5 linked regions of the Callithrix jacchus genome follow. The protein of the gene in region 2 interacts with the protein of the main gene of each other region in a pairwise test. Links are inferred from orthologs where the notes say so. Each region holds a gene or a part of one and is shown on either strand. Other genes may lie near its edges. The genes, in order: RAB22A, APPL2, SUV39H2, RAB5C and CRADD.

What was found.
Region 1: the proteins of APPL2 (region 2) and RAB22A interact in binary tests that used the Homo sapiens proteins (3 or more experiments, as listed by UniProt). The two-hybrid records come from large-scale screens. The link is inferred for Callithrix jacchus from reciprocal best matches to the Homo sapiens genes APPL2 and RAB22A.
Region 3: the proteins of APPL2 (region 2) and SUV39H2 interact in binary tests that used the Homo sapiens proteins (3 or more experiments, as listed by UniProt). The link is inferred for Callithrix jacchus from reciprocal best matches to the Homo sapiens genes APPL2 and SUV39H2.
Region 4: the proteins of APPL2 (region 2) and RAB5C interact in binary tests that used the Homo sapiens proteins (3 or more experiments, as listed by UniProt). The two-hybrid records come from large-scale screens. The link is inferred for Callithrix jacchus from reciprocal best matches to the Homo sapiens genes APPL2 and RAB5C.
Region 5: the proteins of APPL2 (region 2) and CRADD interact in binary tests that used the Homo sapiens proteins (3 or more experiments, as listed by UniProt). The two-hybrid records come from large-scale screens. The link is inferred for Callithrix jacchus from reciprocal best matches to the Homo sapiens genes APPL2 and CRADD.

What each region holds. Positions count from the first base shown.
Region 1 is NC_133506.1:53,939,662-53,943,175, forward strand, and holds part of RAB22A (ras-related protein Rab-22A), read left to right. Parts: intron 1-2,121; coding exon 2,122-2,193; intron 2,194-2,281; coding exon 2,282-2,388; intron 2,389-2,990; coding exon 2,991-3,100; intron 3,101-3,514. UniProt on the Homo sapiens protein: Plays a role in endocytosis and intracellular protein transport. Mediates trafficking of TF from early endosomes to recycling endosomes. Required for NGF-mediated endocytosis of NTRK1, and subsequent neurite outgrowth.
Region 2 is NC_133510.1:108,124,413-108,127,254, forward strand, and holds part of APPL2 (DCC-interacting protein 13-beta), read right to left. Parts: intron 1,855-2,842; coding exon 1,818-1,854; intron 1,626-1,817; coding exon 1,485-1,625; intron 422-1,484; coding exon 374-421; intron 1-373. UniProt on the Homo sapiens protein: Multifunctional adapter protein that binds to various membrane receptors, nuclear factors and signaling proteins to regulate many processes, such as cell proliferation, immune response, endosomal trafficking and cell metabolism.
Region 3 is NC_133508.1:15,823,574-15,827,550, forward strand, and holds the start of SUV39H2 (histone-lysine N-methyltransferase SUV39H2), read left to right. Parts: upstream 1-1,166; 5' UTR 1,167-1,189; coding exon 1,190-1,220; exon of another isoform or gene 1,221-1,792; intron 1,793-3,724; coding exon 3,725-3,870; intron 3,871-3,977. UniProt on the Homo sapiens protein: Histone methyltransferase that specifically trimethylates 'Lys-9' of histone H3 using monomethylated H3 'Lys-9' as substrate.
Region 4 is NC_133506.1:121,574,364-121,578,467, forward strand, and holds the start of RAB5C (ras-related protein Rab-5C), read right to left. Parts: upstream 2,806-4,104; 5' UTR 2,705-2,805; intron 2,523-2,704; exon of another isoform or gene 2,063-2,522; intron 1-2,062. UniProt on the Homo sapiens protein: The small GTPases Rab are key regulators of intracellular membrane trafficking, from the formation of transport vesicles to their fusion with membranes.
Region 5 is NC_133510.1:96,740,121-96,744,429, reverse strand, and holds the start of CRADD (death domain-containing protein CRADD), read right to left. Parts: upstream 2,801-4,309; 5' UTR 2,546-2,800; intron 2,311-2,545; exon of another isoform or gene 2,150-2,310; intron 1,467-2,149; 5' UTR 1,461-1,466; coding exon 1,163-1,460; intron 1-1,162. UniProt on the Homo sapiens protein: Adapter protein that associates with PIDD1 and the caspase CASP2 to form the PIDDosome, a complex that activates CASP2 and triggers apoptosis.

The sequences.
Region 1 (3,514 bases), on a different chromosome or scaffold from region 2:
ATAGAATGGAAAAGGATATTGTATGCAAATAATAAACAAAAGAAACCCATGTGATTATATAATATCAATAAAATAGACATGAAAACAAGGTGGAAGGAGGACATGATAAGAATATTGAGGAACTTTCCATATTGATGGAACTATTTGACATCTTAGTAGATGGCATTCACACAGATATATACATTTGTTAGTTTATCAGATTGTACTGTTAAGATCTTTGCTTTTCTCTGAGTTTTACCTTACAAATTTGAAGGAAGAAAACACAACCCTGTAAAGGGCATTGCCAATATAAGTACATAAAAATGAAAGCTAATACTATAACCTTTATTCCATCTGTGCACTTCTGTTTCATTTTCTCTTACATTGTCGAAGTCAACCCAACACTTTATATGTTTTTTACTCAATAATATAGTTTTCTTTTCTGTGATGCTTTCTTGCTTATAATCTTTATTTTTGTTTTCTTTTCTCTAAAACTTAATGTCTCCTTTATTGGAAGTTAGTAGGCTTTCGGCCGGGCGTGGTGGCTCACGCCTATAATCCTAGCACTTTGGGAGGCCGAGGCGGGTGGATCACGAGGTCAAGAGATCGAGACCATCCTGGTCAACGAGGTGAAACCACGTCTCTACTAAAAATACAAAAATTAGCTGGGCATGGTGGCGCATGCCTGTAATCCCAGCTACTCGGGAGGGTGAGGCAGGAGAATTGCTTGAACCCAGAAGGCGGAGGTTGTGGTGAGCCGAGATCGTGCCATTGCACTCCAGTCTGGGTAACAACAGCGAAACTCCGTCTCAAAAAAAAACAAAAAGGAAGTTAGTAGGCTTTCATCCCAGAGGCAGGGGTTTCTCTCACAAAGACTGGTAACAGTTTCTGTATATGGACAGCAAGGTCTGACACTTAGTTTGACAGTTCCCCACACTCACACAGTGCTTACTCATTTGTTCACCAATTCTTGATAACCTGTAGCATGCTAGATGCTAGGCCCTGAGATAAAATGGTGTGCTCAGCAGACATACTGACACCCTGACATCCCTCATGGAGCTTACAGTCAGAATTCCACTTTCTTCTGTAAAACTCAAATTAATATGAAACTTTAAAAGCCAAAAGCTTAAACTCAGTGAATAAGGAGTTCCAGAATCCACAGTGTGTATGTGGTTTATGTATATGCACCAGATGCTCCCCCTGTAATAATGCCTGCCTGTGTTCAGGGTAAACCACCATTAACAACAGGATGCAAATACATTGGCATCAGATCATAAGTCAGAGTCAGGCTTCAGAGTCAGGATGTAAGATGAAAATTAAGTATAAGCGAAATTCTTGTCATTCAACATTGGCATCAAATTCAGTAGCTGAGATGCTCACACCAGATGTGTGCCCAAGAACTGAGGTTGACAGGGGAAAGAGCTTCACAGTCTCCATCTCACACTCATCAAGAGAAATAGCTCACTAAGTCACGCTTGTTGTTTAAATGGTTATTCCTCTCCTTTCTCTTTCCTCCCTGTTGTGTCTCATGGGGTGCAGAGGCTCGGGTGATGAATGGGAAGAAGCTGTGTGTACAGGGTTAAATTCATGTAAATGAAATGAGATCTGCACCCAGCATTTGGGAATTGCCACACATAGAGATACCAAAAAAGCAAGTCGCAAACTCATGTAACTGGTGAACATAAATGTGTACTCATTTCTGAAGGACAATCAGTGTTTAGATTACAGAGTTTTCTTCATGACACCCAAATGCAGGCACTTCTCTGGAGAACTATTTACAGCATTATTTTTATCTCCGTGATAGTTAGGGAAGCCAAAGTTGAAAGGACTATTGAACAAATGAATTTGGGAATTATAACATTGAGTTCAATTAAAATGCGTTTTTAGCTGAAACAATTGTTTATAGTGCCATATTTAATTTCAATAAAACTATATTCTAAACTATCTTCTGAGAGACATTCAGTGTTACATTAAAAGTTTTTGCCTTTGGTAATTACTGGTTCGTTTGCCTTAAAGCATGTCATTTTCTTTGGCTTAAGAGAAAGATTACCTTTTGTGCAGGGATAATGGGCTTATAAGTCTAGTAAAAAGCATATTTAACCAATTTCCCCAATTTTGTTTATTTCTCCCCCTCCTCTGCAGTTTCGTGCCTTAGCACCAATGTACTATCGAGGGTCGGCCGCAGCTATAATCGTTTATGATATCACAAAAGAAGTAAGACTATATAGTTTTCTTTAGACAGTTTTGAAAACTCTCTTTTAGTTGCTTACATCTCCAGTTGCTCTCCTTTTTTGTGTTACAGGAGACATTTTCAACATTAAAGAATTGGGTGAAAGAGCTTCGACAGCATGGCCCACCTAATATTGTAGTTGCCATTGCAGGAAATAAGTGTGATCTTATTGATGTAAGGTAAGTTATTAGAATGAGGATTACAATGCCTGTTATGTGTTCCTTTTCTTAATGAGCAATATCCAGTATAAGAATCTTGCTTTTATCTCTGACATTGAAAAATTCCTTTTGGTTATGTGGTTGGAGTCCTGAAGTTCCTAACTAAAATTAAGATTTCAAGCATTTGAAGCTCATTATATATATAGACAGGAGTGCAATTTACAGAAACACTGGTTGCATTGCGCCCAACATTGTCTGAAATCAGAGCAGCCCCCAGTCTCCCATAACTTAGAATACTTGAATGCAGAAAGCACATTTATTGACAGTTTCTCTGGGCCACTTCCATCAGTCCCAGAGCAAGGGCTTTCTGAAAATTTTGGCTGGGGAAGAAAACCCTGCCATCCCTAATCATTACATTAGCTACATTACTAGTGGTAGCAGGTTTTGTTTTGTTTTGTTTAACCGTGGATGTGGTGTAATTGGGAAGACCACATCTCAGGGCCCATTTGGCAGTCATTCAGGACATCCTTTGTCATCATAAATCTGGTTAACTACTGGCTAGGTGGGGATAAAACCAAGATCTTCATGGGTAGAATTTCTGATATGCAGTTGTTGCCTTCCAGAGAAGTCATGGAGAGAGATGCAAAGGACTACGCCGACTCTATTCATGCAATTTTTGTAGAGACCAGCGCAAAAAACGCGATAAACATAAATGAACTCTTTATAGAAATTAGTGAGTATCTCTGTGCCTTATCCATTTCCTTTGTAAAAGCAACTTAACACAGAATGATCTTTCTGGTTAGAATTCCCATCTTACTTAGAGCAATCTAGTCTCTGATACTGTGCTCAATGGAATGAGATTGGAGAAGGTAAGAGTGATGGCCAGTTTTTATATCATGTTACAGTTCCTGCAGAGCTGCTGCCCTTCTAGAAAGAATGTTGCTACTGAATAAATAATGTACAGGGCATAGAGATCATGAAAGCTGTCCATTTCTTTCTCTATTTAAATGTGTTTCAGTTAGTCATCCAAGGTGATTGAAAGTGAACAAACTAAAGGGAAATGAAATGCAGATATAATTCCACTGTAAGAAAACCCTCAAAAAATAATGCTAGGCAAGTGAAAGGTAAGGCCTGTTTTCCCCCTTAC
Region 2 (2,842 bases):
TCTTAAAAGCTCCCAGGTGATCTCTGTCAATGCTGTGGGGCCTGTGATCATACTCTGAGGAGCAAGGCTTTAGAGCTTATGGTGAGTACTTATCATCTTAATCTGAAAGAAAGGAAATCTAGCCAACTAGTATATAAGCAAGAAAACAGATAAGCAGGAGCTCCAGCAGTGATAAGAAGTCCTCATGTGTTACCAATGAACATGGAAGGAACCAGTTGATCAAAAATGTCTGGTGGTTAGAATACTTAAAAGGAAATCCCAAAGTTGGCCACACTTGCCAGTGAACATCACCTTTCTTTTTGAAAAGACTCTTAGTATGTATACACAGATGCATTTTAAATAGCTACTAAACCAGCACCAGAATGCATCTTACCTTCTGAACCTCAATAATTTCTTTTCCCAAATTAATAGCATAACATATCTGCAAAAGAGAAAAGTGGTGATTGGCAAAGGTAGAAAAGGATAAAATTTTAGAACAAATGTGATTTGGGAGTACAGTGAGGTCACTGTACTCACTGTTCTCACATGGGAAACAAAGGACCTGGCTGCAGGAAGCCCATCACATAGGGCCCGGGCATTATCGTCCAACTGTCCTGACCTCTTGCCAATTTATGCCATATAAAAAATATTCCAGGTAAGTGAAACTTAGGTAATTCCAGTGTTTAAAATTCTTAATGGGAATTTTTTTTTTCCTCTCTTAAATGTATTTGGCCACTACATGTTCATATACACAGTGGCAAACAGATAACTTACTGAAATAAGTATTTGACAATTTTTTTTGAGACGGAGTCTTGCTCTGTCTCCAGGCTGGAATGCAGTGGTGCGATCTCGGCTCACTGCAACCTCCGACTCCCTGGTTCAAGTGATTCCCCTGCCTCAGCCTCCTGAGTAGCTAGGATTACAGGCACATGCCACCAAGGCCAGCTAATTTTTGTATTTTTAGTAGAGACAGGGTTTCACCATATTGGTCAGGATGGTCTCAATCTCCTGACCTCAAATTCTAAGTCACAGAATAGTCCAAGTTTTTTGTACTAAACAAACAGCTTATGTGTACTTTTCTGGTATCTCCTTCCTTGGTTTGCACCCTGGGACTAAATTATTCTCTATTGTAGCTTTTGCCTTAATTTTTTTTTGAAGTACAAATTTGAGGGGAACTGCTTTCAACATTTCCTTATATCCCGACTAAATAATATGTCTTGCCATTACAGTTCTTCCTCATTCACCCTATTCTGTTTGGTAGGTATTTTCCACAGAGAAATTTCAATCGAGTTAGTATTCTTTCAGTGGGGCCTTCTTAGGCGGTATTATCTGAACTCCTGGATGGAGACATGCAGAATAATCAAGCAAAGAGCCAAGGCTGTAATGCCAGAAGACTTAAAAAAATGGACTTCCAAGAACGTTAAGTTGCTGGCCTAAATAAATAAATAAATAATAAATAAAATGGACTTGTTTGGGATATTACAAAATCTTCACATGAAAAAGACCTTTTCGCCTTCTGAGTTGCTTTCGAAAATGTATGTACTCAGAGATTCTTCTCCGGTGGATTCAGGAACGCGGATGACAAAACCAACCAGTCTCTTATTTTCTTGATGAGCAGCAAACTGTGTGACACTGGTAAGTTCAAACTGGAAAAAAGAAAGGCAACAGATCATACAACTATTAGAATTAAAAACTGACAAAGTTACTCTACAGAAAAGTCGTGAGAAAAAGTATTCTACTAGTAGAAGATCTTTATTAAGTGCCTAGGCTGTGTTTAAGGTAGATACAAAGGTGAATTAAGGAATAATCACTAACATGAATCTGAATGAGGTACTTACATTGGCCCTTGATACTTGAGTCTGAGGATCTATCAACCTGAAATTTTAAAAGATACTTTATATCACAAATGTTGGATTAGTATTCCTAGAAGCGTTTGTAGAAGTCCAGAATAAAATAACACAAATTCCCCCAAATAAGAGAGGGAGATAAAGCCTGATTGAGGGTGAGGCGAGACAGCTCTGTGTGACGACATGTCCTCCTTTCTGCCTTTATGGAACCTGTATAGCCAAAGCTCGGGGTATCTATAATGAAAGATTACATAGTAAGTAGAAGATTTAAGTTCATAGGATTCTGGGACTTACCCAAAAAGGCATTGTAACTCTGAATAGATCTGCTATATAATACGGATTATATTATGTACAGCCTCCCTCTCAACAAACATCCATTGGCTACTTTAATGTCGCTGAAGTGCTAGATCAACTTAGTCCAAATTTACATTCTTAAAAAGATGGGGTAGGAGTGAGAGAATAGTGAAGGGATTCTGACAAAACTCTTATCATAGTTTGGGTATACGAGGAATAATGTTTAAGAAGGTATCCCGGTATCCCAGAATATATTTTTTCATTTTTTACTATTTATTTTGAGACAGTCTTGCTCTGTCACACAGGCCAGAGTGCAGTGGCACGATCTTGGCTCATTGCAACCTCCGCTTCCCGGGTTCAAGCGATTCTCCTGCCTCAGGCCTCCCGAGTAGCTGGGATTACAGGTGTGCACCACCACACCTGGCTAATTTTGTACTTTTAGCAGAGATGGGGTTTCCCCATGTTGACCAGGCTTGTCTCGAACTTCTGAACACAGGTGATGTTCCTGCTTCAGCCTCCCAAAGTGCTGGGATTATAGGTGTCAGCCCCCATGTGCAGCCTTCAGAATATATTTAACAGTATTTTAAGCATCTAATAATTCAGTTGATAAATCCTAAAAAACTGAGAATTTATTGCTATTTTAGATATGTAGACATAAATTTCTACTGTATTGTACTTGTGTTGGAATAATTAACATGGTATTTAAATTAATAAATATTAAA
Region 3 (3,977 bases), on a different chromosome or scaffold from region 2:
TTCATGAACATCTTTTTAAGACGGCTAGACAATATTTTATAATGGAATCAAATCATCCATTTCTTTAATGGTCTGCGTTTATTTCTAGTATTTCGAATTTATACATACTGCTTTGAAACGTTTATGTAATTTTTTACATTATTTTTTTAAGTCCTTAGTAGATATCAAATGGCTTTCTGCCAGTTTTCGCTATTTGCTCTAAGATTTCTGCTTTAGGTTGTTTAGAACAATCATAGGAGGCGGCGTCAAGACCGGGGGGCGGGGGTGGAGACCAGGTGGAAGTCGTCCTTCTCCCGGCCGCTACCCGCCAGCAGGCCGAACTCAGGAGCTTAACAACACCGGAGCTCGGGTCCCCTCACAGACCTACCCAATCCCAGTGCATTAAAGTTGAGCCCAGGAGGTCGAGACCGCAGTGAGCCGTAACTGCGCCACTGCACTCCAGGCTGGGTGACAGAGTGAGAGCCTGTCTCAAAACATTCCAAGTCCAGCTCCCTGACCCCCGACGATCCGTAAGCCCCTTTAAGTGTGAGAAGCACTGCTTGAGACTGCTGGTTTCCGCTGTGCCACACATTAGGATCGGCTGGGAGCTGGCAGCACTCGCTGCCCGGGCCACACCTCACACCAACCAGTCGGAACCCCGGCGACGGGACCAAGCCAGCGGAACCGCTCCAGCCATGCCCACGAGCAGCCGCTTCCGAGGCCCGGTGCTCTAGGGGAGTGGTGTCGGGGGAACCCGACCATGATCGGCTGGGCTGCGGGCCGCGGAACCGGACTCGGCGGGCAGCGTCCCCGATTGCCTAGGTCCGCGCTGTCCTTGTCGGATCTCGTAGTGTGCGCGTGCTGCCGATGTAAGACGTCTCCAAAGCGCAGCGCGGGAAGGCCTGACTGACGTCCTCCCTCGTGAAGGCGCCTAACTGGCCGGGAGAAAGGAAAGGGCGCCGGACAGCACCCAGGGTCAGGGAGCCCGCGCGCTCGCCCCGCCCTGCTCCACGAGCTTGAGGCGCAGGCGCGCTGGCCGCCACGGCGGGGGCGGGGGTCAGCCTCCCTGACGTCAGGACGCCGTGCGGGTTCCATCTCCCCCCCACCAAACCCCGGCCCCCAAGTCCCGCGCGGGCCGGCCAGGGGCGGGGCGTCGGGCCAGCTGAGCTATCCCGTCAGACCGCGCCAGTTTGAATGAAAGCTCCACAAGATGGCGGCGGTCGGGGCTGAGGCGCGAGGAGGTGAGGCTGGAGCGCGGCCCCCTCGCCCTCCCCATTCCCAGGCATGCTCCCGAGGCCCGGGCGGCGAGGCGGTCCTGCGGGCCAGCCAGACTGTGATGTGGCGGGTACCTGCCCGCCGCGCCCCCGACTCCGGGACGCATGCTGAGGGCGCCTATCCTCCCCCAGGCCGCTGACCCGCCTCCCTGCCCCGCCGGCTTCCGCCGCGGAGGTGGGCACCTCGCGAGCCCGAGGCGCTCCGGCTGCGGAGCGTGGCCTCGCCGCCCGCTCGGTCTGGCCCCCTCTGCGTCGCCTGTGGCGGCTTTGGGCGTCGCGGCCGGTCCCCAGCTGGAGGTCTGGGGGTCCCGGCTACGACTGGCTCCTTTGTGGTGGTTCGAGCGGGGCGTGCGGCGTGCGCCCCAGCCTTTGAAGTGGGAGGCGGGAAGCGACGCCCGCCGCGGTGAACAGGACCTTAATATCAGAGGGGGAGAGGAAGTCGGGGCGCCTGTGTGCTAAGACAGGGAATAAGCGAGGAACCCCCCCCCAAGGCGGACACGCTAGGAGGTTGAGTGCCTCGTTGGAGATTCGCCCAGAAAGTGGGTATTTGAGGTTGCACCCTCTGGTTTACGGTAACTCTTCCACCCACCGGGAGCTTGGCGTTATTTCTGTGGACGCTGGGGAATTGGGCACCGAGCGCGCGTGGGTGTGGGTGTGGGTGTGGGCGTGGGGGGATGTCGGTGTCGCGCGCGCTTCGAGAACCTGGAACTTTTCAGTGCGTTGTGGAATGTAAAGGTGTTTGCAAGCCCGCCTCCTCTCCGCTTGGGTTATGACCTCATTATCCCTGAATTTTTCTTCCTTGGAGAATGGCAGTGGTGACTGAAGTAGCGGAACGTGTTTGTGGTGGTCATGAACTATTTAATTTTGTCGATGAAATCTTTTTCTACCTTCCTAGAGACTGTTGAGAGACGGTCGGGTTTTTTTAACCACGTGATTGCAGTTTTTTATGTTCACTTAAAAAAAAAAAATTCCCAAAGAGCGTTTCCGTTGCGAATTGTGTTTTGAACCTACGATCTGCGTAATGAGGTCAACTTTACACAAAACATCGTCTGGTTTTTTTGTTTGTTTTTGGTTTTAGGTGGAAGGGACTTACTGGGTCATTTCTCTCCCATCTCTGTCCTACCCCCAAACGACCACTCCAAAGCAATCAGCCTCTTCCCCCACATTTTCTGGGGGAAAATACCTTTCTCTTTATTGCTTTAGGATTGAGTCGTTTGCAGCCAGTGAGATGGTGGAAATTATGCTTAAGGGTTTCCGACACTGAAGTGTCTGTGTGAGGTGGGGAAGATGAGGAAAGGGGCAGGAAAGTTGCCTCTGACAAGTGTTCTCACTTCCCTGAAATTACCTCAAAACACAAAAGGTTATGCCAGCTACCTTGGAGAGCTACCAAGTGAAGCTTGAGCTTACTGATAGATTTTGTTTCGTAACGCCAATTTTCTCCATTTTTTTCCAGTGAATCTGACAGCCAGAAAGATTGAGACCTCACTAAAGTCACAGCTCGGTGGCCGAGTGATGGATTAGGGCAGAGAACTTTTGATCCTGTCTAGCACTTACCATGACACTAGCGCTAACACCAAATTTGTCCCATTTTCCTAAACGTGTTTGTTAATTTATACTTTAAATTCGGTGTTGTAGCTTGCTGCTTACAGAAATATGGGGGTCACATCTTCTGCAACACAATTAGTTTCTGGCTCTTGGAGGGTTGCTGATGATTATGTCTAATTTTCTTTGAGTTTGGTACATGGCTTATGTAAATTGAACAGTGTTTTAAAAGTTTGGCTTTAAAAACAATACAGTCAGTAAGTATTACAAAAAAATCGATATACTCTCCTTTTTTAAAATAACTCTTGAGTTTATTCACCTTGGTGACAATTTATTGCAGTATGAGTAAAATAAGTGGAATTAAAACGTCAAGCAGCATTTCAAAGAGAAAACTAGCATATAATGATAGGAGTTTGTAACTGTAGAAATATATTTTAGATTTCAGTTCATATTGTCCAGTTAAAAAAAATGAAAGTTACCTGTTAACAAATTATAAGACTGTTTTAAAGTATTTTAGGTGTGTTTTTAAGAATATGTGTCCTAGAGATTTACATTTTATTAAAATAGTAATTCTAGTCTTTGTAGAATACAGTGCAAGTAAAAAACATTACTTCTGTTGACCTGCATCTGTATATAATCTTAAGAAAGCTTATGGATATGAAACCTTTTCAGGTAACTTAATGGAAATTGCCTGATGTCAGTTAAACATAGTAGAATAGAAATCCATGAGAAAACCCAAGAACACCAGTTTAACAAAAGTTCCTTAATGTTTAACATTTTCTTGAAGACACGTAATTGGATTCTTGTCATAGGAATTTTTAGTCTAAAATTTCCTGTTGAAAGGTGGGCAATAGAGGTTTTAAGTTTCTCTTTTTTGTTTTAATTGAGTAGCTATTTCATTAGTAAAGAATTCTATTTTCTTATTGTAGCTTGGTGTGTGCCTTGCCTAGTTTCACTTGATACTCTTCAGGAATTATGTAGAAAAGAAAAGCTCACATGTAAATCCATTGGAATCACCAAAAGGAATCTAAACAATTATGAGGTGGAATACTTGTGTGACTACAAGGTAGTAAAGGTAAGGCAAATATCTAGCCCCTTACAAGAGACCTAATCAGACTTCAGTATTTCATTTTTCTGTAACATAAAAAGAACCTTAAGAGTAAGAAAAACTCTTCTTCATGT
Region 4 (4,104 bases), on a different chromosome or scaffold from region 2:
AAGTAACAAAAATTAAAAACAAGTGGGGAAACAAACCCCACTATTCCCAGGGTACCTGTGAGGAATATGTATGAAAATAACTTTGTAACTTTAAAATGATTTTTAAAAATTAGTGTTATTGCCCCTCTACAGTTTAACAGCCCACTAATCATGAGAGGCAAGAGGGCAGGAGAGGAACAGCATCAGAAAGGAGGGGTTTCTGTCACACACAGAGCCATAGCTTTCTGCCAAGCAGTCAGACCTCTGCTTGGACTATAATTTCTGGATGCCAGAAGCAGCTGCATTCTCTCCCAAAGCACTGGGGCCTTCCTCGTCTGTCTAAATGGCCGAGCTTCCCCTTCAAAAGTCATTTCAGGCCGGGTGCAGTGGCTCACACCTGTCATCCCGGGACTTTGGGAGGCTGAGGCGAGTGGATCACCTGAGGTCAGGAATTCGAGACCAGCCTGGCGAATATGGCGAAACCCCATCTCTACTAAAAATACAAAAATTAGCCTGGCGTGGTGGCACGCTCCTGTAGTCCCAGCTACTTGGGAGGCTCAGGCAGGAGAAGCCCTTGAACTCAGGAGGTGGAGGTTGCAGTGAGCAGAGATCATGCCACCACGCTCCAGCCTCGGTGACAGAGCAAGACTCCATCTCAAAAGAAAAACAAACCAAAAAAAATTGTTTCAGAGTCAGAGCTGGAAGAGCATGTCCAGACAAAGGAAAAAAGGTCTCCTCAGAAGGCTGGTCAGTCTCATCCCAGGACTCCTGAAGACTGACAAACCATGGTCCACTCCTGAAGACGTAAGTCTGGTCAGAGACCAATGGCCAGTGAGCAGTCAGGCCTCTCTGACCCTGCCCCTCAGATGCCCAGGCTGCCCAGATCAGAAAAACTAGATTGGCTGAAGAAGTCTCCAATGAGCCCCCAAGGAACCCACACAGATAAAGAGCTTGTGATCCAGCTGTTGACCCTAATAAGGAAGGCTTCTGTTGTCCAATAAAAAGTGAAATAAGTAGGCTGGGTGCGGTGGCTCACACCTGTACTCCCAGCACTTTTGGAGGCCAAGGCAGGCGGATCATGAGGTCAGGAGTTCAAGACCAGTCTGGCCAACATGGTGAAACCCTGTCTCTACTAAAAATACAAAGTTAGCCGGTATGATGGCATGCGCCTGTAATCCCAGCTACTCGGGAGGCTGAGGCAGAGATTTGCTTAAACCTGGGAAGTGGAGGTTGCAGTGAGCTGAGATGGGGCCAATGCACTCCAGCAGGGGGGAAGTGGGGGCGCTGGGGGAAGGTGAAATAAGTCCTAGGTCTACTCACAAGACTGGAGAAATCAGACACTAGTGACTGTCCAGAAGTACTCAAAAACACCTCAATACCAAAAAACAGCACTTTTAAGCAGCACGAGAGGGTGGTAAAGGTAGCTCAGAAAACTGAAGAGCTACAGACATTCCCACTATCTATCCCACTTGCTATCTACATATCCACTGTAGATAGCAAGGGTCAGTCACGGCCTCAGAGACAGGCTACTCCTCATTAAGGTACAGTCTCGGGCCTGTACTTTGGCCACATAACAAAGCTTGGTCAGAGACAGCAGCTATTTCACACACCTAAGCCCCAAGCAACAGTCCATACGGTTGAGGGAACCAGCATTTTCTGGCATGTGTGGGAATTCTTCAGGCTACAATTCAGACCCCAGAACTGCCAGTGGGATCTTGACTTAGTCCTCAGTAATAAGTCCAAGCCCAGAAGGGATTAGATACCAGCGCGGTGTGGACCTGTTGCTCAGGGTGGTTTATGTGTGTGTGTCTGGAAGTGGGAAAGAGATAATTCTTCAACTCCAGACTCCTCATTTTGGGTCTTATTCTCCTGCCTATAGACACACGGACAGCAGTCCCGGGAGAAGCAGTCCCTTTGAGGAGGCTTGAAAACTACTCACGTGCTCTGGGAGGACAGAGCTGAGCCTGGAGCAAGGGGGGAGGGGAGAGAAGATAATGAATGGGCATATCCACCCTGATCTGTGATCTGTAGCTAGGATTGAGCAAACCTCAGCTAAATTCTTCAGGGGCAGAAAGAGAGAGACACTCAGAGAACAACATAACTAGAGAATAGGGCAGGGAGACAGAAGGGGCAAAGCAAGAAAACATCTCATTCCTACTAAATGACCCAGACTTTTAACTGAGGTCCTGGTTGGTTTTCTGGCTTGAGGAAAGAGGGAAGTAAGGAGTTGTGGAAGCGCAAATACACTTCTGTGCGTGTGGAACGGTCTCACCCAGACGACCCCCTCCCCCATAGGAAATCGACATATTCCTCTAGGGCTGGAGGGGACAACTGGTTTCGTGGGACAGGAGGAAGGAAAACGGCGACAGACAGCACTCCCTGTCACTTCTAAAAGACAAGAAGGACAGGTTCCTTCACACCTGGCAAAGATCCTTCGATTCTGGGAGCAAGGCGAGCGGAACTTAGGGTTCCTCTCTCCCACAACTGGAATGGACAGGCCAGAGAACAGTCATAGGAGTTTCCTTAAGGCTCACGAAAGGCAGGTAAGCTAAAGAAAGAAGCTCCCCCGCTCCTTTGGCCCGACGCCTGGGGAACCCCTTAGGAGGAGGCTACGGGTCGGGGGAGGGGTCATTATCCCCCTAAACGGGCTGGGTGGTGAGTAAGGGCTGCCCTGGAGATGCTTCAACGCAGGCGAGACACCAGGTTCGGGGACAGGCATACTCACGGCGGCTCCGGGACGGCAGCGTTACTTGGGGCCGGGACTCGGACAGGCTTCGCTTCTCTCCCCCCCCCCCGGCGGTGTCCCAGGCTCCGGCCTCCACTTCCGCCTTTCAGCCGCTCCGGATCCGGATCTCCACCTCCGTCCCGCCCCTCAATACTACCCAGGTGATTGACAGGGTAGAGGGACTAATGGAAGGCACTCTTGGCCGACCTATCCAGCGGCTCCGGTAGAAACGCGGGAGTGGTTGGAGGGCGCGCGCGAAGGATGGCGGGACTTGTAGTTCGCAGCGCTGGGAGGAGTTGGCGGCTGCCTGGGATTTGGGCTTAGGGTGGAGCCGGCTGACTGCGAGGCGGAGCCCGGCCGGGAATTATTATTTTTTTGTGAGGAGTCTCAGTCTGTCTCCCAGGCTGGAATGCAGTGGCGCGATCTCGGCTCACTGCAACCTCCGCCTCCCGGGTTCAAGCGATTCTCCTGCCTCAGCCTCCCGAGTAGCTGGGATTAAAGTCATGCACCACCACGCTCGGCTAATTTTGTATGTTTTGTAGAGACGGGGTTTCACCATCTTGGCCAGACTGGTCTTGAACTCCCAACCTCGGGTGATCCGCCTTCTTCGGCCTCCCAAAGTGCTGAGATTACAGGCCAGAGCCACCGTGCCCGGCCTACGGCCGGGAACTTTTTAAGGCCAAGCCTGCCACCCGCGTCACCGCCGGTTCCGGACGCCCGAGGGAAGGCGAGTGGCGGAGAGTTGGAAGAAGGCAGAGGACTGTGTGTGCAGAATTGGAAAAGGAAAAACATGGTGCGAATGAATATGCACGCGAGGCTGCGTGGACCAGTCCTGTGAACTCGCTGATCTGGAGCAGCCCCTGTCTGCGCTTTCCGGCCAAGTCAGCTTGGGAAGCCCGATTGCTGGGGGCCTCTGTGATGGGGAAGGCGATGAAAGCGATGAAAGGCTGTAGGAAAGGTTCTCTGCAGGATGCTGAGTGAGATCAAAGGGAGAGCTTCTGCCACCACCCCCTACTTGGTGTGTCGGGGGGGGGGCCGGCGCAAAGACCATCTCCGCCTCTGCCTTCCCCTGCTCCCAGCCAGGGTCAGCTCTTCTCTCTGACGCGGAATGTAGAGCTGGATAACCTCTGGCTCGGACCTCTCCATCTGAAAATAAAGACTAGAACCACCCCCACTCTGCCCCTCCCCATATGGATCAGGACTATTTGTTTCTTCTGCTCCTCTGAATATGGATCCGGCCAGCTCCTGATTCCGCCCACCCTTACCTCTCAACACAGACTAGTACCTCCTCTTCCTTTGCATGTTACCCTCCAGGGACACTACTGAAAACCTGTGTAGAATCAAAGCTCACTGGAGACAGCTGTGACCATTGTGCCTCTAGTACTGGCCAACACCGGGCA
Region 5 (4,309 bases), about 11 Mb from region 2:
TTTGTTAAAAACGTGCAAGTCAACTTTCAATTACTCTTTTTTTCAATGTTTAAGTTCAGTTCTCTGCTCCTTCATCTTTGTAAAACAGAGCCAAGGGAGGTTAAGAAAAAGCAAGTGTTTCTATATCATGTATTCTTCCTGCTATAAGCCAGGCTAACAGAACCAGAACTGTTTCTCTCTTCTCCAGCTTCTAATTCTCCTTCAGATCAAACTGAGACCCTCCCCAAACTATTGCTTTCCATAAAATTAAATACTCCAGTTGTCTGAACTAAGCTAAACTAAAAAGGACACTTTAAACGAATAACCTTTCAAAACAAACCAAGTCAGCCTTCAACATAATCCCCTTTGGCCACACAGGACAGCCCAGGGGACAGGTGCAGGACATGCCTTCCTAGAGGCTATCTCCTCCTCCATGAATCTGACCTTTTCCAGCTGGTAGCTCTGGCACCTCACAAATCAGTTGTCAGTAGGCCGAATGCCTGCTTTCCATCTGCGCTTTCCAAATGGCTCCTGATGCCAACGGCTGAGATATGACCTGGCTCTCTGATGGGAACATGCTTCCCAAGTGACATGCCAGGTTTCCCTGGAAGCATTTCTAAATGCATTCTCTGAGCCCCCCTCCTTCACCTCCCAGTCACGGTTCATTCTTCCTTCCCACCATTTCCTAATGCCACCTCTTGATCCTATGCCTCCAATATCATGTCCCTTCAGTCCCAACTCCTTACCCACTTTCATCAACTGCTGACCCTTGTCCTGCCTTACATCTCAACTTCAAATATGAAGGGCATAGTTCTGGCCAGGCATGGTGGATCATGCCTGTAATCCCAGCACTTTGGGAGCCTGCGGTGGGTGGATCACCTGAGGTCAGGAGTTCAAGATCAGCCTTGCCAACATAATGAAACCCCATTTCTACTAAAAATACAAAAATTGGCCCAGGCACAATGGCACATGCCTGTATTCCCAGCTACTTAGGAGGCTGAGGCATGAGAACTGCTTGAACCCAGGAAGTGGAGGTTGCCCTGAGCTGAGATCATGCCATTGCACTCCAGCCTAGGCAACAGAGCGAGACTGTCTCAAAAACAAACCAACCAACAAACACAAAACCAAAGGGCATAGTTCCAACGTTTTGGAGCTGCTTCGAAGTGATCTTTCTGAGCCCTACCTGCAGGCAGGCTGGTCATGGCTTCTTCCCTTGCCTTCTTCAGCTTCTCCCTGACCCAGGGAAATTCCTGTAGGGAATCTAGGAATGTATCGAATGCTTTAGGGCCCCTGGAAGGTAGGATGTCCAGCAGCAGCATTGTTTTCCGGAGGCCTGTGGTTTGAGCATTGATTTCTTGAACATGGTTTTCCGTCAAGACTCCTTCCTGGTAGAGGTACTGAAGAACCAGTCCCTCCACCAATACCTCTGCACCCAGCTCCAGGCGAAGTGAGCGGAGCACTTGTTTGTCTCTGGCCTCCATTTCTCCCTGGAAAAAGCCGAAATCACAGCTCAAATTACAGACATGAAATGTAAGTTCCTTCAGGTCAGGCATATCTTCAGACCGTAGCAGAGTGCCATATTTAATACACGGGTGAAGCCAAGTTAATTTTGAACGTTTCCTAACATAATGAACAACACCGAAAATGAATCATCTTTTCTGTTTCTGCTTTTAGCACAATGGGGTCCCGGCTCAATCAATAAAGAAATTTAGAAAAAGAAGAAAAAAAAAAGTGGGTCAGAGACCCTTCTGAAAAAGCACTTTTTATCTGAAGATCACAGAGCACCATTAGTTTTAACAAGCTGGGGAAGAAATGGTGTTTTTAACATTGCCCTCATCAGACCTGCACCACCACCATGGCAAAAACTGCCACACTGGACGCAGGTGCCCTTTTGACCGCAAGTATTTGCAAAACCTGATCAGTAATAGGAGTGCAGGACAGAAATCAGCAGCAGGTACAGAGTTTAAGGCTCTTTTTGCTTAAAGTCCTCTACACTATCACCCTCAAGAAAAAGGTTGTTTTGTGCCCAGTCTACAATAAAACTTACACAATATACAGTCACAAACTCCATTCCTTCCCACTAAGAATTCAGAATCTGTAGCACATTATCGTGGCCACACCTGCATGGGACATTTTATGGGATTTTTTTTTTCTTTAAAAAAAAGCTCACATCCAGCACTGGTCAGTAGTCAGGCACGAGTTGAAGGTGCAGTTCCACCACCGCTGCACCAGTGTGCTGTGGCTTGGTTGTGTGTAAGGCAGTGAAGAATAAATGACAGGGAAGGGAGGTAGGGATGACAGATGCGGCTTCAGACACCCCCAGGCAGTACTACTGCTGGGCGACACCCAATCCCACACTCCCCCTCGCAACCCTGTGAAGTTCGGGAGGTGACAGGTGAAGAAGGGAGGTGTTCACATTTGGCCGTGAGCGCCCATTGGTAACTTTTTAAAAAATTCTCGGCCTCGGCCGCTGAAACCCTTCTATCAACAGGAAGAACTATGGGCGGTTTCTGTGGCAACTCGACCCGCTAAAGAGGGAGTGCTGGGAATAAACTTAAGAGCTGACCAAGGGGAGAGCGGGCCTCCGGCACTGCCGCAGCCACCCAGCCTTGGCCCGGATCGGAAATGGGGAGCAAGTTGGGGGGCGGGGAAGCCCCCGCAGGCCCAGGTCGCAGATGCTACAGTGCAGGACTTTCAAGAAAAGATGGATTCCTGTTACTTACGTCTGCAACCACGTATCTTTGGGGCGGGGGAGAAAAACTGCAACCGGAATCCTGATTGTTAGGGAACCTGCATCGTAAGCACCATCTTTGTTAAAGGCGAAAACCTTAAACAGGAAGTGTTGACGCCATCTTTGTTGAGGGCAAGCACAGGAAGTGCCGTCGCCATTTTTATTGAGCGTTCGAGGGTCGGATTGAAGCTCTTCCCGCCATGTTTACTATGGGTAAACATTCAATCGCGGGGAGCTGGACAACAGTAGCATCACTTAGAGGATATCTAAGTAATGGAGTAATTGGATATTTGCATTTTAACACGGTAACTCCACCAGGGCCTTGCACACAATTGACATGCCAAAGAGTCAGGCCAAAAATCACCCTAGGAGGAAGCCTTCTCTGACCTATCTGATTAAAACGGCAACACCTCATCTCCTGCACTCCCCATTGTCTTAACCAACTTTACTTTTTACATATCACCATCTTACTAAAACTTTTCACTTATTTGTTTATCCCTCGGCTTCACTCCATTAAAAGGCAAGTTCATTGCTTTATATCGAGGGTTCCTGCCCAAGAAGAGCTTACAAATCTGTCGGTCAGGATTTCATTGCAGCACTCAGCTAGTTAGTTACTCCTAGTCAGAAAGGGATTTGTCAGTGGGGATTGGAGACATTAGAGATCATTGGAAAGGCTGGAGAAAGGCTGAATATCCACGGATGACTACCTGGAGAAGAGTGCCATACTGGTTCCTGCCCACAATCAGGAAGATGGCGTCAGGAAGTTGGCATTTCTTGTCCCCAGCTTCCTTTCAACACCCGACAGAACAATCAACAGGACACTGGAACACTGCTGCAAAACACCGTGGTCTCGACAGCTGCATTTGCTAGCAGCATGAAAACAGCACCTGCAAATCTTGCTCTGTTGTGTGCAATTGGTGAGACCAATTTCACATGCAGAATATTAGCAGCAAGGATGTCTAGAGCGTGTAGCTTTCCAGCTTGTGAAACAGGAAAAGGTATACTAAATGAGGGAAGGGCTGATACTAAAGGCCAATCTACTGCATCCACCACATTTTCAATTTGGAAAGCAAGACAAAATGCATGACCCAAATATAGAGAAACACAGGGATGTCAAATTGAGTGTCCTTCCTCACATTCCTTTGTGAAGTGGGCCAGTCAGTCAATAAATACATTCATTGATTCATTTTAAAATCAGTTGGATGATACAAATGGAAAGTCATGTGCTTACTAAAACTTAGTTGACAGTACAGGGGGAAAAACTCCTAAAATATTATTTCTGCCAAAGTTTTCACAGCTAAAACCTTTGGTGGAAAATGAAAATGTCTTTGTAAGCAAATCAATGGAGAACAGTTCTGAACCTCCCTCCTCAAAACCTTCTAAAATTGTATTCAATTTACAGTGTTACTATGCCAGTTACCATTTTACTACACCATTAATGACGGTATTTTTACTAAGTAGCGAGTATTACTACAGTCATTCATTGCATAACAACATTTGGGTCAATAACAGACTCCATATATGACAATGTTAAGAGCAATAGGCTATGCTCTATGGCCTAAGTATGTAGTAGGCTATACCATCTAGATTTGTATAAGT